Cricetulus griseus: one gene and its partners. The protein of the gene in region 1 interacts with the protein of each later gene in a biochemical or structural test. Links are inferred from orthologs where the notes say so. Each region holds a gene or a part of one and is shown on either strand. Other genes may lie near its edges.

Evidence for each region. The genes of interacting proteins can lie anywhere in the genome.
Region 2: of the proteins of Arf1 (region 1) and Agap1, one has a biochemical effect on the other in vitro, tested with the Homo sapiens proteins (2 studies listed by BioGRID, with this or other methods). The link is inferred for Cricetulus griseus from reciprocal best matches to the Homo sapiens genes ARF1 and AGAP1.
Region 3: the proteins of Arf1 (region 1) and Pld2 form a complex in vitro, tested with the Homo sapiens proteins (2 studies listed by BioGRID). The link is inferred for Cricetulus griseus from reciprocal best matches to the Homo sapiens genes ARF1 and PLD2.
Region 4: the proteins of Arf1 (region 1) and Cyth2 are reported together in a solved structure, tested with the Homo sapiens proteins (3 studies listed by BioGRID and IntAct, with this or other methods). The link is inferred for Cricetulus griseus from reciprocal best matches to the Homo sapiens genes ARF1 and CYTH2.

What each region holds. Positions count from the first base shown.
Region 1 is NC_048600.1:73,271,775-73,276,513, reverse strand, and holds the end of Arf1 (ADP-ribosylation factor 1), read left to right. Parts: intron 1-1,360; 5' UTR 1,361-1,396; coding exon 1,397-1,544; intron 1,545-1,629; coding exon 1,630-1,740; intron 1,741-1,914; coding exon 1,915-2,039; intron 2,040-2,167; coding exon 2,168-2,329; 3' UTR 2,330-3,449; downstream 3,450-4,739. Other genes in the region: CUNH1orf35 (multiple myeloma tumor-associated protein 2), read right to left, coding at 4,733-4,739. UniProt on the Homo sapiens protein: Small GTPase involved in protein trafficking between different compartments. Modulates vesicle budding and uncoating within the Golgi complex. In its GTP-bound form, triggers the recruitment of coatomer proteins to the Golgi membrane.
Region 2 is NC_048595.1:441,110,435-441,116,160, forward strand, and holds the start of Agap1 (arf-GAP with GTPase, ANK repeat and PH domain-containing protein 1), read left to right. Parts: upstream 1-1,968; 5' UTR 1,969-2,442; coding exon 2,443-3,349; intron 3,350-5,726. UniProt on the Homo sapiens protein: GTPase-activating protein for ARF1 and, to a lesser extent, ARF5. Directly and specifically regulates the adapter protein 3 (AP-3)-dependent trafficking of proteins in the endosomal-lysosomal system.
Region 3 is NC_048600.1:84,350,270-84,356,131, forward strand, and holds the start of Pld2 (phospholipase D2), read left to right. Parts: upstream 1-2,104; 5' UTR 2,105-2,297; intron 2,298-2,493; 5' UTR 2,494-2,494; coding exon 2,495-2,603; intron 2,604-2,693; coding exon 2,694-2,824; intron 2,825-2,837; exon of another isoform or gene 2,838-2,935; coding exon 2,936-3,078; exon of another isoform or gene 3,079-3,100; intron 3,101-3,346; exon of another isoform or gene 3,347-3,459; coding exon 3,460-3,565; intron 3,566-3,652; coding exon 3,653-3,718; intron 3,719-4,061; coding exon 4,062-4,120; intron 4,121-4,173; exon of another isoform or gene 4,174-4,235; coding exon 4,236-4,328; exon of another isoform or gene 4,329-4,353; intron 4,354-4,417; coding exon 4,418-4,570; intron 4,571-5,000; exon of another isoform or gene 5,001-5,076; intron 5,077-5,370; coding exon 5,371-5,520; intron 5,521-5,734; exon of another isoform or gene 5,735-5,830; intron 5,831-5,862.
Region 4 is NC_048599.1:154,707,172-154,713,074, reverse strand, and holds the start of Cyth2 (cytohesin-2), read left to right. Parts: upstream 1-2,145; 5' UTR 2,146-2,336; coding exon 2,337-2,355; intron 2,356-2,574; exon of another isoform or gene 2,575-3,425; coding exon 3,426-3,573; intron 3,574-3,669; coding exon 3,670-3,736; intron 3,737-4,213; coding exon 4,214-4,332; intron 4,333-4,856; coding exon 4,857-4,937; intron 4,938-5,521; coding exon 5,522-5,634; intron 5,635-5,805; coding exon 5,806-5,903. UniProt on the Homo sapiens protein: Acts as a guanine-nucleotide exchange factor (GEF). Promotes guanine-nucleotide exchange on ARF1, ARF3 and ARF6. Activates ARF factors through replacement of GDP with GTP.

The sequences.
Region 1 (4,739 bases):
GTGATCTGAATGTATTCCCTTAAGTTTGTATATAGGAAATTGAACTCCAGTGCAATAATGTTGGGCAGGTGTTTGGGTCTTTAAAGTTCGTCCCACAAGAATATACAAGGACCGTCATGAGAAGGGCTTTGAAAGAGGTTCATACTCACTTTCCACATGAGATTGTAGCATTCCTCCCCTGTGGAGGATACAGCTCAAGGCCATAACTTAGAGACAAACATCTAACCTACCAGGCCATGATTTGGAATGTCCAGCTCATGTATTGTCCAGCTTGTGGTGTTGTTACAGTAGCACAGAGGGACAGTATACAGGGAAGCCTTGTCACCCTGTTTTATACCATGCTTGTTCATTTTCCTGTGAGGTTAACAGCCTTGGATAGTGCACAGACACATCTCTTTCTGAAGGCTCCATGGCCTTCTATTTGCTGTTACTATTAGGAACTAACAGCATTTAAGAATGCAGTAGAGTCCATTTGGATGAAAAACAAGTGGCCACCTGAGGTTGAGACCAGAACCCTGGAAGCCTTAGTATCCTTTCCAGAAGCCCTAAACATCTGATAGGCTCTGGTAAATTGGTGCCAACTTAGTTGATTGGCACCTCTAGTGTTTCTGTTCTGCCAGTGGACCCTACTGAGTGTGTGTACATGCCCTTACAGGAACACGTCTTCACATTTGCCTGTCCTCATAGGAGCATCCTTTTGTATAGGTCTTCAAGGGAATGTGCTGCTGTGGTTTACTGTTTGGGTCTCTACCTTCTTGGGCTGTTTGAGATGGATAGAACATTGCCTTAACAACTGTCTCCCATGGCCTAGATGACAGAAATGCCTGGAGATGTGACACCACATTCTTTCTGGGCTTGTCCTACTGTCACCAGGGGGTGATGGAGTATTTGGCCTGTAGTATTGAGCCTAGAGTGTGACCAGCTTTCTAGTTGCAATCTGTGCTACTTTGAAGTAGAGAGAGATGTAAGGTGGTTCTTTCTGATCTTGTGAAGACCTCTGTTAGTCTGTAAGAGGGCCTCATGTGTCTCTCAAAGTACTTTTTAGAGAGTAAACATGCCAGTTTCCCAAGTGTGAGTGTACACGGATGTAGTTAGATGTTCTGATAGGTGAATAGACTTGGGATACAAGGGGCTTTTCTGGTATCTGTGCCTTCCTAGACTAGTATGTGGCCCTTAGATGCTTAGGGAGTCTGGTGGACAGGGTTCTTTTTTTGCCACTTGGAACCTGGGATTGAATTGAGATCTCATGAGGGATGAGAGAAGGCTTGGGGCAGGGGGCTCCTAGGTAGGTGTGTCTCTGACCTGCCACAGGGCCTAAACTAGCAGCACATAACAGGACTGGAACAACTTGCTTCCCCAGGTCTCTGGCCAGTATCGCTTCCACCTGTCCACAAGCATGGGGAATATCTTTGCAAACCTCTTCAAGGGCCTTTTTGGCAAAAAAGAAATGCGCATTCTCATGGTGGGCCTGGATGCTGCAGGGAAGACAACAATTCTATACAAACTGAAGCTGGGTGAAATTGTGACCACGATTCCCACCATTGGTGAGAGGCTGGGCCAGGGCCAGGGTGGGGGTTGGATTTGGGGTTCTGGAGTACAGAGGGCACTCAACTGTAACCCTGCCCCCAGGTTTCAACGTGGAGACAGTTGAGTACAAGAATATCAGCTTCACCGTGTGGGATGTGGGTGGCCAGGACAAGATCCGGCCGCTGTGGCGCCATTACTTCCAGAACACCCAAGGTGAGGGGTCGATTCTTGTCGTGGATTCCTCCTTTGTCTTAAAGGGATGCATTTCTCACTGAGCCTCGTGACTTTTCCAGTTGTATTGTGGCCAGTGGGAAGACTGAATCTAGAGCCTATGGGTAGACCAGATGGGCAATCTTCAACATGTGCAGTAATGTTTTCCTGTTGCAGGCTTGATTTTCGTAGTGGACAGCAATGACAGAGAGCGTGTGAATGAGGCCCGTGAGGAGCTCATGAGGATGCTAGCTGAAGATGAGCTCCGGGATGCAGTTCTCTTGGTGTTTGCCAACAAGCAGGTAGGCACCAGCAAGGTCCTTCCCTGATGGAGAAACCTGTGTCAGGGGAGAGAGAGAGGGTGGGTGAGAGAATGCCCTGGGTGACTAGCTGCTGCTGGTCCCTGCCACTAATTCCTCCTTTCCCCCAGGACCTCCCCAATGCCATGAATGCGGCCGAAATCACAGACAAGCTGGGGCTGCACTCTCTACGCCACAGGAACTGGTACATTCAGGCTACCTGTGCCACCAGTGGGGATGGGCTCTATGAAGGACTAGACTGGCTGTCCAATCAGCTCCGGAACCAGAAGTGAACCAGACCCCTCCCTCCCCCTTACTTCCTCCTCTCCGCCCTCCGCTTTCCTCTCATGTGGCAAACGTGCGACTCTGTGGTCCTGAGTGCCAGAAGCTGTCTCCATGGGTTGGTCACAGTGTGCATCGCACCGTGCTGTACATGTGCAGACGCAGCCTGCAGCCAGGTTTTTATTTAATGTAAATAGTTTCTGTTTCCACTGAGGCAGTTTCTGGTACTCCTATGCAATATTACTTAGCTTTTTTATTGTAAAAAGAGAATCAACTCACTGTCAGTACTGAGAAGGGATTTGGGTGTAGGGGCACCTGGCCTCCGGGAGCCATTGGGCTGTAAACTGGTGTCAGTATCCATTTGGTGGTTGGTTTTTAACCCAAACTCAGTGCATTTTTTAAAATAGTTAAAAAATACAGGACAAGAACACTTGAACACACAGAAAGGAGACTATGCCTAGTGTAGGTTTTGCAGTAATGGCCTGAATGCTAGTCCATCGGATCACCTGTTCCCCTATGGGAACAGGAGAGAAGGTGACAAACCACCATCCGCTGCATGGTCACAGTAGAGCCCCCGTGACTCGCCTGTCTTTGGGTCACCTGCATTCCATAGCATTGTGCTTGTACTTGTGCTCACATGGTCACCTAGGGGTTGGCTGGGGGCCATTGTGGGGTGCAGGGCCTGGCTTGTATTTGGTGTGTGGCCGGGCCAGATGGCAGCCTACATACCCAGCTTACTCTTGGGCCCACTTGGACGCGCTGGCAGGAGGCCTGGGTCTCACCAGCAGGAGCGCGTGCAAGCTGGGAGGGTCAGTCCATTCCAGACCCACATCCTGGAGCACCCCCATCTCCATGTGTGAAGTAGCTTTCTCCCTCAGCCTGCAAGGGTCCGATTTGCCATCGAAAGACGACCTCTACTTTTTTCTTTTGTATTTTGATAAACACTGAAGAAGCTGGAGCTGTTAAATTTATCTTGGGGAAATCTCAGAACTGGTTTATTTGGTGTCGTGGAACCTCTTACTGCTTTCAATACACAATTAGTAATCAACTGTTTTGTATACTTGTTTTCAGTTTTCATTTCGACAAGCACTGTAATTATAGCTATTAGAATAAAGTCTCTTAACTATTTGATGGGCTTGTGTATCAGTGTCACCACTGCGAGGCTGCCTCCTAAGAGAGCCCTTTTTAAATTTGAGAGAAAACAGGTGCCCTCTACGCCCTGGTAGAAGTAAGATCTGGGTGGCTCCCCTCAACATCTCAGAGTTACTACCAGCCTCAGTGTGCTTTGTGACAACTGAGGTGTGCCTCCTGTCCCTTCAGTAGGCAGCCAGCTTTGGGGTGGTACATATCTCTGAGTAGGTGTGGCCACTAGGAGATCCAAAGTCTACCGTCCTGAGTGGGTCCCTGCCTAAGTGGATAGACCTTCACCCCCTTGAGGTGGTATTTTAGATAACTAATCTTCACTCATGTTTAGGTGGCTACCTGCAGAGCACAGGCCAACAAACAAGCTACAACTTGAGTCTCAGGACACTTTAGGGTCTGCCCAAGAGTACACACACCCAACAAATAAGCTTTACAATCAGAACACTTTGCTGTGTGGAATCCACCCTAATTTCTACTGTCTGCCCATGTATGTATATAGACTCTAAAATTGCTATTATATGGCTGTGGAACCCACTGCCTCTGCTTAGGTAGAACTAGATTGGACCTCTTGGGCAGGTTGCAGATGCATTCGTACAGAAGTTTGTTCTAACTCTTTGGCCTTGGGGTAGTCTCAAGGACAGGATTCTGGTCCCTAGACCCAGTGCCCTCAGGTATACTCGATGGACGCCCCATGCTAGGACCACAGGCTCCCAGCCTAATGTGCCCTCAGTGAGATGATACACTCTACTTTTAAAATACATTTACTTATGTACAAAGTGGGTTGATACAAAAAGTAGAAGTAACCAGATACACACACACACACACACACACACACACATACACACACACACACCTAAATCTCAAGGGCCTGAACTGTGGCAGCAGAAACAGGAATCTGGCCTTAGTCTCCTAGGCAACTGTATCTTCCTTGGAATGGGGGCAAGGCAAGTTACTACCCTCACACAGTCACCAGGCTGTGGTCACCCAGGACCCCACTCCTCAGCAACATGGGGTGGTTGCCACATCAGTTGCCTCCAAATGGCAAGATAGACTCCAAGGTCCAACAAGCTTGGTTCAGAATCCTACCAGAGAGCAGCCACCTGCCTTATCCCAGATAGGGATGGGATGGTTAGTCTGGGCAAGTAGGGAAGGGGCTGGTAGCCAATTGGCATCCAGTGACTACTCTTTATAGACCCCACAAAGCTTGGTGGTGGGCAAGGTCCCAGCTCAGGGCAACCAAGGCTCTGGTGTCCTTTGGTTTAGCCACATTCTCAGTCA
Region 2 (5,726 bases), on another chromosome or scaffold:
CCAGGAGCTGTGTAGTCTTGGGGCATGTCCCCACCCTCTCTGAGCCTCTGCATCCTCCTAATGGGATGGGGATGAATCTAGACATTTTAGTATGCATGCTGTGTCTGAAGAACCAATGCAGGAACCAAGGGTTTCAAACAGAAGTTATACCTGGCCTGTAGCTGATGTGATTGAGGTAGAAGCCACTGGTGGTTAGCTATGTTTTCAAACATTTTTTTTTTTTTTTTTTGGTGGAGGTTGGAGAGGTGGCTCAGTGGGAGAAGTGGTTGCCACACAAATACCAGGACAGGACTTTGGACCCCTGTACCCACTTAAATGTCAGGTGGATGTAGCAGCCTACCTTTAATCCCAGCCCTTGGGAAACAGAGATTGGGGGATCCCTGGAACAAGCTGGCTGGCTAGACTAACCAAATCAAGTTCTGGGTTCAAGTGAGAGACCTTGCCTTAATGTATAAAATGAAGAGTCGATTGAGGAAAGATAATGACATCAACCCCTGGCCTTCATATAGATACACAGACACGCACGCACGCACGCACGCACCACATGCTGGCAACAAGTAAATGAATCACATAGAAACTTTTCTAATATTTTTTTTTCTTTAAAATCTTGGTTTCTTACACTGCAGTCTCTTTCAGGAGGCCTGACCCATCCATTTTTATACCACTTTCACTGACATGAACAGATACCCCCGAAATTTTGTGGTGAGATTACAGAGTGACTAGCTGGAGAGACCTTAGAAATGCCTGACCTTCACAGCTGCCTGCACCTTGTCTAGATGTACCCTCCAGGAAACTGTGGCCTTTTCAGGCCAAGAGAAGACCCTCCATCTGCATCTGGAGAAGGGGAGGAGGAAGGAGGGTGGGTATATTGCATTTTCCTCCTGGATCCTGTAAACAAGATGACTAACAGTGCATCTGTGTTCAAGATGGTCTGAAGAACTGGCTTGATGGTTGTATATAAATCCTGTATTACATGGGGGTGTAGTCACAGATGAGCATTTGTGGGAGGTGAGGGCCAGGGCCAGTAAGAAGGGGGCATGAAGGATGAAGGGAAATGCAACTTTAGATACTCATGGTGTGCATGCCTGGCTCATAGTGTTTTAACTATGTTCCAGGGCCAGTTCCAGTTGCCCCCCAAAGTGCTAATGTAAGCTAGAGAACTGTTATTTCCATTTTAAAATTGGAGAACCCAGATGGTTAGGAAGGAGAGGAGCCTGGCAAGTTGCCTGCTGCTCAGGTAGCAGATTTATATTTTGGAAAATACCCTATAAATTATCTTAGAGAAATGCTGCCCCAGTGCCTCAGGGAGCAACTACTTTTTGTTGTCTTCTTTTAAAATTATTTTTTATTTATGTGTATCTGATTGAATTTAGGTGTATCAAGTACACCAGGCCCCCTTGGAGGTCACAAGAGGGCATCAGCTCCTCTGGATCTGGAGTTACAGATGGTTGTGACTCCCTGTGTGGCTTGTGGGACACTAATACCATCTTCTAGGAGCAGTCAGTGCTCTTAACTGCTGAGCCATCCAGCTCCTTTTGCTTTCTAGGAATTAACCATTAGAGGTTACAGGTTCCAAAGAAATAGTTGTTATTGTTGAGATCCTTGTTGTTGGGTGGATTGGAATTACTAGCCTCAGAGTTACGATCCTTCTGCCTCAGCCTCGGGAGTGCTTTTTCAGCAAGTCATTTGAGTTTCATCTTATAAGCTACACGGATAGCAGAGGCCTCAGATGACCCTGTAGCAGGTCCTGGAGAATGGTATAGGTTTACTGCGCCCGGTTGATCCGCTCCGCGCGGCGATAATCCAGCCCAGCTCTTGGGCCTTCCCTACGCCGCGCTCGCCGCCGCCTCCGCGCTCCCGGGACTCGCAGGCCCCGCTGGGCGCGCGGCCCGCAGTCTCCGCACGTCGGCCTCCGCCCGCCCCGCCCCGCCCCGGCGCGCATTTCCATTTTAAACCGCTGCCCGCCCGACCGCCCGCCCCTCGACCGACCGCGCTCGGCGCAGCTACCCGCGGGGATCGAGGCGAGGCTGCGGGACCGCCGAGCTGTGCAGGAAAAGGCCGTGGGATGCGCTTGGGCCCCGCGCCCTAGACAATGAAGCCGCGGGCGCCGCCGCCCGCAGCGGGTCCTGCGCGCCCAGGCCGCACCTGCCGGCGAGGCGGGTTCCGCGCCTGAGCGCCCCCCTGGTCCCCCATGGCTCGGTTCTCCAGGCGCGGACCCCGGCACTCGGGCCGCGTGGCGCGCGGGCAGGCGGACTCCAGGGGCGCTGTTCCCGCAGCCTAAGCGCGGGCCTCGCTGCGCGCGGGGGGCGTGGGCGCCGCTCCCTGCCGGCCCGGGTTGTGCACCTGGCCGGCTCTGCGCCTGCGGCGCGCATCCCGACGGCCGGCGGCGCTGGATGCAGTCGAGCCTCGGAGGGCGGCGCGGCGGCCGCGGCCCCTGGGGACATGTACCTGCTGGACGGCAGCGGCGAGCCCGCGTCGCCGCCCGCGGACGCGATGCCGCGCGGGACGCCCCCCAGGAAGACTGTCTACCGCATCTCGGTGACCATGGTCAGGAAGGAGCAGCTGGTCGCTCCAGCTCCGCTCCCCACTCGGCGGCTCCGGCCCGCGCGCTCCCCGGACGCGCCCGGGCGGCTGGAAGAGGAGGCCGAGGAGGCGGCGGCTGAGGATCCTGAGGCCGGGCCGCGCGCCTGGGACTTCCGCGCCTTCCGCACACGCAGCACCGGGCAGCTGGAGCTCGGGCGGCTGCGGCCGTGCACACGCGACACAGAGCCCACGGACCTGATGGGCAGCCCCTCGGCCGAGGGGCCCAGCAGCCCTGATGGGGAGGAGGCTCGGGCCGCGCCCCTGCGGCGGAGTCTCAGCTTCAGGCACTGGAGCGAGCCCGAGGCGCCGCGGAGCCCTGCGCTGAGCGGCGGGAGGCGCCACAGCAGCTCCGGGAGCCTGGCATGGGCGCCCGACGACGAGGTCGAGGCAGAGGTCGACCCGGAGCTGGTGACCGGAGCGCAGCCCGTGGCGGAGAAGCGCAACACCTTGGATGTAGGCGAGGTGCTCAGCAAGAATGATGCGCTTTCGGACCTGGAGCGCTGGGAGCGCAGCAAGAGCAAGAACCGCACGCTGGACAACAGCGACCTGCAGCGGCTAGAGCGCGCGCGGGCCGCGGCAGCCGGCCCCGGGGCAGCCTCGGAGCACCGGCTGCTGCGCTTCTTCAGCGGAATTTTCGCGCGCAGGGACGGTGGGCCCTCACCCCGCAGCGGCGCCCTGCGCTCCCGCGGTTACTTCAGTCTGCGGCGAGCTCCGGCAGACACGCACTCGTCTAGCGCCGAGAGCATCGAGGGGTCTCCGCGCAGAGGTGGGCAGCCCGGGGGATGGTGGAGATGCCCTTGGACAGGCCTGAGAGCAGTGGGGGGCTGGGCCTGCGCTCCAGCAGCCTAGGGCCCCTAGAGAACACCTGCCTTCCCTGGTGTCTGGCCTGCCAGTGGTCGTGAGGATGTGAACTTTCCTGCCACTCACTGCAGCAGCCTGGGTGGTCCTGAATAGCTGTCACCCCAGGCTTTATGTGCTTTAGCAGTTCTGGGCCTGTCACCTGGTCTTAGTGAGCTTGACTAGGGTAAGATTACCTGGCCATTTGCTGCCCCACTTGCTGGCTCAGCCCTCTCCATCTGTAGGATGGGGTCTAGAGTGCGCCTTTGCCCAGATGGGGGTCCGGTGGCGGGTGGGGTGGCATAGCAGCCTTGGTCCTGGACTGTGCTATGCAGGTGCAGCTCCTGGCCAGCTATGAGGAGCTCACATTCATTTTGAGTTGATCTTGCCTCCTTCAGCGCAACACGCTGCTGTTGGTTTCACCGTCTGAGTGCAGTGATGGCTGATCTGGGTGGTCCCACCTATGGAGCTTTGGGTAGAGTCAGCTCATAGCCCTCGAGAGCTGGTGATAGACATCCAGGCCCCTCTCCCTCCACATGTCACCAGGGAAAGCAAGCCGGATAAAGGATGTTAGGGAATGAGGGGCCAGTCCTGAAGCCCATCCTGAAAGTTCAGGGGTGTCTTGTTTCTCCCATGCCTACTAGGGCCTTGTGGAGAAGTTTCTGGAGGTAGATACTGAAAGTGGTGGTGAATTAGCCATATGATAGATAGCATTTGGGGTCAGAAGTCTCTTGAAACCACGAAGCATGGATCTGGTTTCTGTATATCACCTGGATGAGTAATTGTTATATTACTACTATGTGTGTGTGTGTGTGTGGGGGGGCATTTCAGTAGGGCGACTCCTTAATCATGCTTCTGATTACAAAAAGGTGGGCTGATGACCACAAAGGTAGAAGCAATGGAGTATAGTGGTTCCTACATCATCAACTGGCTCCCTCCATCCCAAGCTAGCTGACTGCCCTAGGTCCAGGCTCACATTAAAATCAACCTTGGCAGAGGACCCATGGAAGACAAACTATTCTCATATTGCTGCCTAGGAATGTACTAGGAAGAGGAGGGTTGGAGCCAAACTCTGCCATGGCCTGCTTGCCTGTTTGTTTTATTTGTTTTGCTATGAAGTTATCTGTCACCAGACTTGGTTGGTTGAGTTGCCTTAGCTGTCTAGTTTTAACATGCCCTGTAGCACTTTGGCACACTCCTTCCTCCACTGCAATCATTAATCCCTCTTACTCTCTCTCCCCCTCTCCCTGCTTTTAAAGTGTTAGAAAATGGCAGGCGTTCTTTTGGGGGCCACTGAGAATGACTCAGCCAGGTAAAGGCTTTTGCCACCAAGCTGGTGATCAAGTGTGATCCCCATGGCCCACACAGTGATAGGAGGGAACTAACTTCCACAGGTTGTCCTCTGATCTCTCCATATGTACCACAATGCCAACTGGCAAGATCATCCATGAAAATAAATAAATGAGGAAGAAAAAAAGAGTTGGTTTGCAGGAAGTGCCTGTTGTCATTTGCACAGAGGAAGTGAGAATTGAAAGGTCCCTGTTTACTCTAACAGCAGGCTTGCATCTCTGTTTTTGTGGACTTGGTAGAGAACAGTAATTAGTTGCTTGGATTCCAGATAAGTCCCTGTCTTACGGAGATGGGGAACCGCACAGACATGATTGACATGAGTGTGCTTCAGCTGCACCTGGACACAAGGTAAAAGCATTGGAGGTTTTGATTCATCCTTTGGGACAAACACTTGAAAGTGGGTTTGCAATAGTAAAGGTGTTAAGTGTGGGAAGTTTGCCCCCTAGGGGTGCAAGTTTTTAATAGTTAACGACTGTAGTAATGATCTTATTGCTTGTCTCTGTGGACAGACCTTCACCACAAACTTTATGGGTCATGTGGAAAACCCACAAGCTGGGTGTGATGGAATGTGTTTCTAATCCCAGCACTTGGGAAGTACAGTTAGGAAGATCTGCCTCTGATATATATCACACTTGAAGCCTGGGCTACATCAGACCCTGTCTCAGAAAGGGGGAAAAAGACAAAACAGGTTGAGGCCGATACAATAAGATAGCATTTTGAGGTCAGAAGTCTCTTGAAACCACAAAACATGGACCTGGTTTCTGTATATCACCTGGAGGGAAAAGACTGGGCATGGATGAGTAATTGTTACACTACTAAGTGTGTGTGGCTTGTGCCTTTAATCCCAGCACTCAGGAGGCTAGAGGCAGGTGGATCTCTTGTGAGTTCAAGACCAGCCTGGTCTACAGTGAGTTCCAGGGCAGCTAGGACTGTTTCACAGAGAAACCCTATCTCAA
Region 3 (5,862 bases), about 11 Mb from region 1:
CCCAAAGGTTGAGAACCAGCGACATACAGAGATCCTATTTAATTTGTATGCATATAAGATTTTTTAAATTAGAGAAAGATGAACAGATACTTTAGCATATGAAATATAGTTAAGACCATTGATATTTGGAGATGTACATTTTGTTTTTCGAAACAGGGTTTTTCTGTGTAACAGCCTTGGCTGTCCTAGAACCAGGCTGGCCATGAACTCACAAAGATCAGCCTCCTTCTGCCTCCTGAGTGCTGAGATTAAAGGCTACCACACCGGGCCAGAGATGTACTACTAAGATTGCAATGCCATACCTTTCACACCACTCAGATGGGTAACACTAAAGACTTACATCATTGGATGTGCACTGTGCACGCTATGGAGTAACAATCATAGAAGTACTATTTACTGGTTTTTTTAGAAATGTAAAATAGACCTGGCTGTGGTGGCACCCACCTTTTTAATGCCAACAACTCGGGAGTCTGAGGTGGGCAACTCTGTGAATCTGAGGCCAGCATGGTCGAGGACAGTCAGAGATACACAGAGAAACACTGTCTCAACAATAACAACAACAAAACAAAAACAACAAACAAACAGCCGGGCGTTGGTAGCACATGCCTTTAATCCCAGCACTCGGGAGGCAGAGGCAGGCGGATCTCTGTGAATTCGAGGCCAGCCTGGTCTCCAGAGTGCCAGGATAGGCTCCAAAGCTACACAGAGAAACCCTGTCTCAAACAAACAAACAAACAAACAAAAGAACAACAAACAAAAAGAAACCTGTCTTAAAAAAAAGAAAAAGAATGTAAAATAGAAGAGCCATTTTGAAAGGGGTTTTTATTTTCAACTTTTTCTTTGCTTTTATTTTGTGTATATGCATGTTTTGTGTGTGCAGCGTCTATGGAGGCAAGAAGAGGGCATTAGATCCCCTAAAACTGGAGTTACATCTATTTGTGAGCAGCCATATGGATGCTGGGAATCGAACTTAGGTCCTCAGCCAGTACCCTTAAGCACAGAACCATCTCTCCAGATCCTTTTTTGGGGGTGGGGGGTGGGGGTGCTTTTCTGTGAAGCTTCAGCAGGCCTCCACTCCCAAGCTTTACAGTCCTCTTGCCACATTCTCTTTGCTGCTGGGCTACAAACTGTCAAGCCCAAGCCCAGGTCTTGACAGTCTTCTATAAGTTAAACATACACTTATATGATCCAGTAATTCCACTCTAGTTATTTACCGAAGAGAAATGACTGGTACATAAATGTTTATGGGAGCTTTATTTCCCGAGGACGAAAACTAAAACAACTCAAATGTTTATCAGTGGAAATGTAGAAGAAAACAAAGAAGGAAGAGAGGGAGGGAGGGAGGGAATGAAAGAAGGAAGGGAAGACAGACTGATGACCTTTAGGATCTGAAAAAAAAAAAATGTTGTTTTAGACTGGAACTTACAAGTCAGCATGTTCTGGGCTGCTACCGTACCTCAATGTCTGGCTAATCTCTACTGAGCAATAAACGTTTAGTGAAAGAAGAATGAGACTTTTCATACTGCAACGAACTTGTAGTCACCATCCTTCTGGCTTTTTAATCTCTTCTTACCTCCCATCAACAAATGCTATCTGTACAGGGCTCAGCAAGGGGACACCAGCAGGTCCTCTCTCGCCACCGAGGCCAGTTCCGCCCAGATTCCAGGCAGCGCTGGAGACCAGACAACCCAAGGCCCGCGCGCGCGCAGTAGAGGAACGTGAGCAGGGTGGATCACACACTCGGGGATGCTGGACTTCCCAGCTCGGCACCCCCGAGGGCATCCAGCGGGAGAGGACGGCCCTGGGGAGGGGGCGGCCCCGGGAGTGGGCGGCCCCGGGAGTGGGCGGGCCGGGCTGGGCCGGGCCGGGGCGTCTATATCGCTGCGCCCGTAGAAGGCGGCGGGGGCGGGACGCGGCTGATGCGCCACCCGCGGAGGTGAGGCCCTGAGCCCCGGTCCCGCCCCGACCCTCTGGGGTGTGGGCTCCTCTCTGAGTTCTGCTCCCGGTGCTTGCGAACCCGCGCGGGTGCGGGCGCCCGCAGCCAGGGTGAGGGGCCGGGGACGTGGCGCGGCTGAGATCGGCGACGGGGTCCAGCTGGAGCTGCTCCGGCCTTCTGACTCAACCGCACACTCAGATTTCGGGATTTCTCTGCTGGGCGGGGAACGCGTCGTAACTTCCTCATTCCCGCCGGGACCCTCGCTTCCAGCCCGTCTGGCCTGACTTTGAGCCCAGCTGTCACCGGGATTCCTCCCTTGGACTTACCTCGCCCCAGTTCGAGGCTATCCCAGCTTGGCTAGGTGCTTCTTGGACCCTGAATACGGAATGAGAGGCAGGGCTGGGGGTTGCAGAGATGGGAGGCTAGAGGGGCGTCGGTCTGCAACTGTAGAAGTTGGGAGTCAGCTGAATGAGATGGGTGAGGGCCGGGGGCGTTAGGATAGGGAAGGGTGTTTCTGTATGGGCGAGTCCCTTCCTGAGGCTTCCTCATATTCCTAGGATGACTGCAACCCAGGAGAACCTCTTTCCCTATGGGGACTACCTGGACTCCAGCCAGTTGCACATGGAGCCAGATGAAGTTGACACTCTGAGGGAAGGAGAGGATCCAGGTACACAAGGAGATGGCCCCCACAGAGGGGAGGATAGGGATCTGGGTCTCCTGAGATCTACACCCTTGGGCTTTTTTTTTTCCCTCCCAGCTGATCGAATGCACCCCTTTCTGGCCATCTACGACCTTCAGCCCCTGAAAGTGCACCCCTTGGTGTTTGCCCCTGGTGTCCCGGTTACAGCCCAGGTGGTGGGCACTGAAAGATACACCAGTGGATCCAAGGTGGTTGGGCTGGTACCATGGAGGGTGGGAGAGGGAGGCCTGGCCAAAGTGGAGGGTTGGGTTGGGCCGGAAGACTCTGAAGACATGATTTTCAGATTTTTATACCCCCAGGTGGGAACCTGTACTCTATATTCTGTCCGCCTGACTCATGGTGACTTTACCTGGACAACCAAGAAGAAATTCCGACACTTTCAGGAGCTGCATCGGGACCTCCAGAGACACAAAGTCTTGATGAGTCTGCTCCCTTTGGCTCGGTGAGTGGGACTAGAGTGCTTCCTGTAAAAGGCAGACAGATAGTCCTCACCCCATGGCAGTCTTTACTCCTGTCTGCCTATCTCACCCCCAACCTACTGTAACCTTTTCTTCACAGCCATTTTCCTTCCCCCAGCTCTGTGCTGGACCCTGGTTCCCAAGAAACTTCCTCTGGTTCTCTTTGTCCATGGTACTATGCCAACATTTCAGCCAGGCTGGATGCCCAAAATGTCCTTGGCAACACCCCACCCCACTTGTCTCCACTCCCAGGATAGAGACCCTTTCTTCTGCCAGCCTTTCTCCCACTCCAAGGCCCTGTCTCCAGTGTTTCAGGCATCTAGCTTGCCAGCTCTTCCCTGAGCCTTCTCTTACCTCCTGTATAGCTTTGCTGTGGCCAGTTCTCCAGCCCGAGAGGCAGCCAATGAGGACATTCCCTCCCTACCCCGAGGAGGTTCTGAGGGCTCCACCAGACACACAGCCAGCAAGCAGGTATGACCTAACACCAGGTCCTGTAGCAAGGTGTTGTAGTATGCACAAGGCTCTGGCTACATCTGTTTCTTTCCCACCCCCATTCAGAAATACCTGGAAAATTACCTCAACCGCCTCCTGACTATGTCTTTCTATCGAAATTACCATGCCATGGTAAGGTCCAGTGTCTAGATGCCTGGGTGTATCTCTCTCTCTCTCTCTCTCTCTCTCTCTCTCTCTCTCTCTCTCTCTCTCTCTGTCCCTGTCTCTCTCTCTCTCCAGGGTCTTACTGTGTAACCCTGACTGGCCTGGAACTAACTACTGTAGACCAGGCTGGATTTGAATGGACAGAGATCTATCTGCCTCTGCCTCCCCAAGTGCTGGGAGTAAAAGCCTGTGCCATCATGTCCTAGGATGCCTGGGGTTTTTTAATTAGATGACGACAAAGGGGCAGAATAAGTAAGGCTAAGGGGCTAAAAAGCCAAGTCTCCTCCTGAGCTTATTTCTTCCTCTGCAGACAGAATTTCTAGAAGTCAGTCAACTTTCCTTTATCCCAGACCTCGGCTCCAAAGGACTGTGAGTGTGGGAATCCCCCGCCTAGCCTTCTGCAGACATCAGTCCCCATCTACCTGCTTGAAAAACATGTAGTATGAGTGCGTAGAGTCCCCAACTCTCCCGATTGTCCCTGTAGGGAAGGGGTGATCAGGAAGCGCTCAGGCGGGCATCGAGTTCCTGGCTTCACCTGCTGTGGCCGAGACCAAGTTTGTTATCGATGGTCCAAGAGGTGAGGGCTGGAATTGAGCAGGGGTCTGTGGGCAGGTGAAGAGGGAACTCTGGAGGACCTTGACAGTATACACAGCCCTTCCCCTCCAGATGGCTGGTGGTGAAGGACTCCTTCCTGTTGTACATGCGCCTGGAGACTGGCACCATCTCATTTGTTCAGCTTTTCGACCCTGGCTTTGAGGTGCAGGTGGGGAAAAGGAGCACAGAGGCTCGGTATGGGGTGAGGATCGACACCTCCCACAGGTAAGGCCTCCCTGGTGTGAGAGCCTTCTGTGACCTGAGGGGAGTTGAGCTGGAGACACCATGGGGGAGAGGAAAGCTTCTCAGTCCTCCATGTCCTGGTCCAGCCAGAGCTTTGAATCAGGGAACTAGTCTATCCATATATTTAGGATACTCCTAGAGTAAGGGCCTATAGTGCAGGGGTTTGGAGGCTAGAGAGAGAAGAGTGGATAGTGGTCTTGCAGAGGCCCCGAGTTCCGTTCCTTGCACCCACATTGGGTGGCTTATGCCCACCCATAACTGGAGCTTATGCCCACTGGTAACTCCAGCTCTAGTGAGGCTGATACCCTCTTCTGAATTCGGTGGGCATCTTCACTCACACCTGCACACACACATGCACACATGCACACTAAAGACATAAAAAAGAAAAGGAGCCGGGCATGGTAGTGCTTACCTGTAATCCTAGCCTTTGGGAGGCTGAGCCAGGAGGACTGGCTCTGTAGAACCGGAGCTCTATAGTGAAACTCTGCCTTAAAAAGAAGAGTGAGAGAGAAGAGGAAGGAAGGGAGGGAGAAAAGGGAAGGAAATTAAACTCCATTTGTTCATTCAACAATAACAATAACATTGTTGAATGAGGACCTGATACAGTACTGTTCACTGGGAACCCAACTACGAATAAAGCAGATATCTGCACTGTCTGTGGATTCCAGCTTAGGGGCTAATGGGGGAATTAAGAGAAGGTAATAGCCAAAAGGGGGGCTCTCTGGACAAGACTGTAGGCTGAAGGAGAGGGATTAGTGGTAGACCTTCTCCTTTCCATCCAGGTCCCTGATTCTCAAATGTGGCAGCTATCGGCAGGCACGGTGGTGGGGCCAGGAGATCATGGAGCTGGCGCAGGGGCCAGGCAGAGATTTTCTACAGCTACATCGGCATGACAGCTATGCCCCGCCCCGGCCCGGCACCTTGGCCCGGTGGTGAGACCCTGATCTCCTTCCTTTCTGAGCTTCTATGTGGCTTTCTTGCCCCCTTTGGTATTCTCTGAGTTCGTGATCTTCGTTTATTTCCTCTGACCTCATGACCCTACTTTTGTACTTCTCATCTCTCTGACCCCTTAACCTTAACTTGGCCATCTCCTCCGTCCTCTTACCTCCCTGATTCTTACGAGCATTTTAACCACAGGGAGCTCACCAATTTTTTTTGATTTGTTCTATTCCTTTAATGCTTAAGCATTTAAATCTTAAGCACTTTACTATGTGTTCCATCCGGTACTGGCAATCAGACACAGGCTTCTCTGGGTTAGGGAAGGAGGTGATCTA
Region 4 (5,903 bases), on another chromosome or scaffold:
AATTGGAGCCCCTTGCAGAGATCTTAGAAGACTTACTTTAAATCCCAGCAACTCCAAGTAACTTCAGGACTTTAGGCAAACCTTTCCTTGTGTTGCTTCAGTTCCTGGAACAAGGGCCACTAGAGCATGAAGTTCTCCAAGGGTCCTCCCAAACAGGATGGCCCTTCACCTGATGGAGGCTAGGATACAGTGCAGGTCCTAACATTTCCTGTCCCCACCCTCATACTGAAACACACAGCATTCCAGGGGTAGTTGGAAGGGGATACTGACTTGATGGCTGGTTCCATATTGTATGTAGATTATAGGACCAGCAAGAGGAAGCAGGAGCTATCACCAAGAGTCAGTGCTCCAGGTCAGGGGCTGGGGATGGAAGGGGCAGCTGTTATCTCCAGGGTCATGTTCACTGTGAGAAAAGTGGAATTCTCAGGGGAGCCCTATCATTGTAGTAAAGGCTCAGGAGCTCCAGCAGGGTGCCTGTGTTTCTGGAATGTTGGTCCTTGTTCTTGGTCTTCACCCATAGTACAGCCACCTAAGTGCCCAGCAGGCTGGTGGCCAGCAGGAGGGGAGCTGCCAGGAGGAGGGAGTGCCCTCTCCCTTGTTCCCAACAGAGAGCCAGCATTGGCACTGGCTTGCCTGAGTGAATCCACCCACCCATGCCCTCTCTGGCTCTCATCTTGCTTTATCCTTCAGAATCCCCAGGTAATAACCGGACAGGATTAATTAGCTGGCAGCTCTCCCACCCCTGGGTCTAGGGCAGGGAAGGACTAGGGATGATGGAGACCATAGTGGAGAAAATTGCTAAGCTGATGTAAAGAGGCAGGGGCATGTGGTTCTATTGGGAAGTAGAGGGTGGGATAGGATTGGCACAACCAGGTCTCCAGCAAGGGAGGGCATGGGTCAGGCCACTCATAAAGGTCAGAGAGGGGATTAGGAGGCTCCATGACTAATCCAAAGACTTAACCAAGTCCTGGCTCTGAATCCTCCCGACCTGTGCAGCCCAGGGACACAAATGAGGACAAGACCTGGAAGTCACATCAGCCCCATTATGGGCCTATGATTTACAAATATGCCAGAGTCCCCATCACAGACAGGACCCTCACTGCTTTTCCTGCAAAACAGAAAGGATTCTGGGAGGGGGAGGCGATTAAGAAGGGCAGGACTTTGAGGACTGAAAAGCTGGGTGGAAGGAGGACCTAACCACAGAGACCTGGAGTGCTGCCAAGAGAGTCAGTGCACATTCTGGAGGCAGAGGCAGACAGATCTCTGTGAGTTCGAGACCAGCCTGGTCTACAAGAGCGAGTGCCTGTGACAGGCTCCAAAGCCAAGAGAAGCCCTGTCTCGAAAAACCAAAAAAAAAAAAAAAAAAAAAAAAAAAAAAAAAAAAAAAAAGATTCTGAGGGAAGAGGATGTCTTGGGCAAATATCTGGGGAAGGCGGGATTTTAGGAGGAGGAAGCTAAGACGAGCGTTTAGGAGAGAGGAAGAGCCTGAAAGAGAGAAAGCACCAGGAGGGTAGATCCAGGGTATTTGTGGTCCCCAATACATTTGGAAGGGATAATGCCTTTATTTTACCATCCTTTGACTGAGGAGACTGAGGTGTGGAGGAAAGTCACGTGAGGTGGTACGGAAAGAGTTCAGAGACAGCCACTGCCTGAGACAGAAGTACCCTGAGGAAGAAGGCAAAGACAGGACTGTGCGGCTCCCAGTTGCTTGGCAACCGCCGCGGTCAAAAGCTAGCGTGGAGGGCCAGGAGGTGTGGTCCCAGGAAACACCTCAAGGTTGAGACTCCGCCCTTGACAACAAGACTAATCAAATACCACCCCCTAACAACGAATTTCTGAAAAGGTTAGGCCGTCTTAGTCTGGCTCGTGCGCAGGCGCAATCCTCCCTGCTCCACGAATCCCCACCTCCTGCTCCCTCCTTTTTGAGTTTTCTTATTGGAGGATAAAGCTGCCAGGGATTTTCCTTTGTTTCGGGGGCGGGACCAAGCCCCTGGACGCACTTCGATTGGTCACTCTAACAGTCTATCGCTAGCTGTACGTGCCTGCAACCGCTTCTTGTGTGTCTATTGGTCCTGGAAATGATCCTGTGGTTTCGGGGGCGGAGCAGTCTGGGAGACCCGCAGCCGATTGGGTGGTGTCAAAGCGAGGGGCGGGCCCCAGCGGCCGGGCGGTTGGGCCGTGAAGGGAGAGTCTTTTCGGCGCTGAGGACTGGCGCTGAGGAGGCGGCGGTGGCTCCTGGGGCGTTTGAGCGGGCTCACTCGAGCCCGCGGGCCGACGCGGACTCAGGCCCAGCCGGCGGAACCGCCCCGGACTCCCCGCGGGCTTTTCTAGCCGCCATGGAGGACGGTGTCTACGGTAGGCCAGGCGAGGCGGGAGGGCGGAGTGGCTCCCAAGCCCCGCCAAGGACAGCCGAGCGGTGGTAGCGAGGCGCTCTTGTGCGCGCGGAACGGGCTTCCGGCGCGACCGAGAGCCGGGGGTCCCGGCCATTGTTTGGGCCGAGCCCTCTTCCGGCGGCGGCGGGCGGGGCGGGGCGGGGGGGCGGGGCGGAGCGACAAGAGCGGGGCGGGGCGGGGCGGGACGTACACCCGCGCGAGCCGCTGCCTTTCTTGCTGCGAACCTTGGTTCTGTGACCTCCCTACCGATCCTGACCCCGGTCGTGATGCCATGGCTTGTCTTCACTGAGCACCCAAGATTCAGACCACAGATCCAGGAGCCAGAACCTCGGTTCCTTTCCAAGAAAGGCACCCAGGATTCAGGACCCCAACTCTCCCACTATTGTGGAGCCAGGGATCAGGCCTCCTTACAAGAAATGTATCCAAGCTCCATGCCAGGGTCCCCACCGTGGTGGACCCAGGAACCAGAGTATTGGTGTTTTTCCAAGAAATGCACCCAAGGTCCAGGATCCCAGGTCATCAGCCATGATGGAGGGACCTGTTACCTTCCAAGAAATACACCCAGGATCTGGGGCCCCAGATCCCTTGCGATGATGGAGCCATGAGCCCAAGGCCCTGTGTCCTTCCAAGTAATGTTTTCAATATCCAAGCCTCCCGTTCTACTGTGATGGAACCAAGGAACCAGGGCATCCAAGTAAAACATCTAAAGTAACATCCCAAGAGTTCCTCATTGTGGTGATGGGTCCAGGAGCCCAGGGACTGGTTCCTTTCCAAGTAATACACCCAAGATTTAGGTCCACACTTTCATGATGAAGGCAGGGCTCCATCTTTCCAAGTAATGGGCCCAGAAGTTCATCCCCAGACCTATTAAGAGATGAGATTCCCAGGCACTTCTGCCCCAGACTAAGGGTTCAGAGTCTTACTCCCTCTTCCCTAAGAGTTGTAGTAGCCATTTCTCTTCTGGACAGGAATCCAGGCTCTTAGCCTTAATCTTGGCCCCCCCAGAACTCATTTCCTGACCCTGACTCCTAGAGCCCCCAGACTTGACTCCGGAGGAGCGCATGGAGCTAGAGAACATCCGACGGCGTAAGCAGGAGCTGCTGGTGGAGATCCAGCGCCTGCGAGAGGAGCTGAGTGAAGCTATGAGTGAGGTGGAGGGTCTGGAGGCCAATGAGGGCAGGTGAGGACTGTGGCGAGCTCGTGGGACACAGGGCTTGGCCAGGGCCCTGGATGCTCAAGTGTTGACCTTTGGCTGCTGCCCATCCTGCTTTTGCAGTAAGACCTTGCAGCGGAACCGGAAGATGGCAATGGGCAGGAAGAAGTTCAACATGGACCCCAAGAAGGTTAGTTAGCTGAGCAGATATATTCAGGCATGGTTTTGATATCCTAGGTTCTAGAAGTGTTAAGATAATAGGTTTCCTCTAGGCAAGACTCCTGATCCCTGTCCATCTGTTCCATGAATGTTCATGTACTGAGGCCTCTGGGAGCCCGGTCCTGTGCTGGGCAATGCTGGGAATGCTAAGACCCTGCCTTACTCTGAGGGATCCCCCTAGGTGTAAGTGCTACAGTTCAAGGTGAGATATGGCAGTAAGGGAGGGGTGCTGTGTTTACAGCTTGATGGGTAGGTATCTGCTTCTTTTTTTATACAGTGTATCATGTATTCAATTATTCTTCAAACCTGTTCCAGCTATACATGCCGGAATCAGTTAGGCAGAGGTTGAGAGGATGGGCTAGGGATGACCATGCTCTGTTAGGGTGGAGAGGCTTGGATGGGGAGCAGCAGCCTCTGCCTTGGCATAAATCTGGCATCCTCCATCCAGGGGATCCAATTCTTGGTAGAACACGAACTTCTGCAGAACACACCTGAGGAAATTGCCCGCTTCCTGTACAAGGGTGAGGGGCTGAACAAGACAGCCATTGGGGATTACCTCGGGGAAAGGTGAGCTGCCCAGCCTGTACAGTAGTACTCCCAGCCTCAATAGGAGTTCATGGGTAGAGCAGGTTTGTGGCCTCCACCTGGGTCATGATATAGTGGACTGACTGGCTCTGAGGGAGCTTGAAACTAGAGGGAGATGGACCTGTAGTCATCCAGTAAACAAGGACACTGTTGAAGTCTGAGTGTCACTGGCTTAACCACGCATATACAAGCTAGCATATGGAAAGTATTGTCTGGAAGTTTTTATCATGGGTCAGAGCTGCAAGTGTTTGGAGACCTGTGGACATGTGATTGCATAGCAACTGGGAACTAGCTATGAATTCTTAGACAAAGGTCAGTTCTGAGATAAAGGCATCTGGGAAGCGTGAGAGCAGTTGCAAGATGACATCAGGTGGTCTGTGTACTCAAAGATCTGACAAGCTACAAGAACAAGGTTCATCTGCAGGAGGGTGGCATAGTAAATGAGATGATACTGCTATGGCTCCTGTCACTCCTCCTGATGGGACTCTCTCTCTTCCCTCCTCCAGGGAAGAGCTAAACCTATCTGTGCTCCATGCTTTTGTGGATTTGCATGAGTTCACCGACCTTAATCTGGTGCAGGCCCTGCGGTGAGAATGGGACAGAAATGTACCTGCCAGGACTTTCTCAGTTGTGAGGAACATACCATTCCAACAGAGATGCAACAGTCAGGAAATGACTGTCTCTAATAAACAAGTTCAGATGGGGCCTCCTTCAGGCTTTCTCTTGGTGTATTCAGTGGATCTTCCTACATGACAGCAAAAAAGCACCTGGCAACCCCAGTCCAGTTTAGCCAACTCGGGGTAGAAAAAAGACTTTTCCACTATAGATCCACCAGAATCCATGGCCAGAACCTACTGGTCTGATCAAATTACATGCCTACTGAAATAGCAGCTGGGGCAAGAGATTTTGATTCTGTTTGTTTGGGGGGTTGGGGTTCAGACAGCATTTCACCGTGTAGCCCTGATTGGCCTGGAACTCAGTAGACCAGGCTGGACCCGAATTCACAGAGATCCACCTGCCTCTCCCTCCTTCCTGGGTGCTGGGATTCAAGGTGTGCATCACAATGGGCAAGGTTTGGATAATGATTTGTCCGATTCTGACAGAGACTTAAGAAAGTAGAGTGTTTTCCCAGCCCTGAAACCTATGCCAGACCAATTTCTCCCCTAACCAGGCAATTCCTATGGAGCTTTCGCCTCCCTGGAGAGGCTCAGAAAATTGACCGGATGATGGAGGCCTTTGCCCAGCGATACTGCCTGTGTAACCCTGGGGTCTTCCAGTCTACAGGTAGGACCAGGGGGCAAGGCCTGGACCTATAGTCTGTAGAAAAAGTGCTGAAATCTGGACTGCGTTTGAGGGAAGATGCTGGGATCTGGATTCCCAGACTTTGAGGCTACAGGACAAAGAGTTTGGGAAGGTCCTGGGTCATCACCAGCTGCCTTATTTTATCTGGTACAGACACCTGCTACGTGTTGTCCTTTGCCGTGATCATGCTGAACACCAGCCTTCACAATCCCAACGTCAGGGACAAGCCAGGCCTGGAGCGCTTTGTGGCC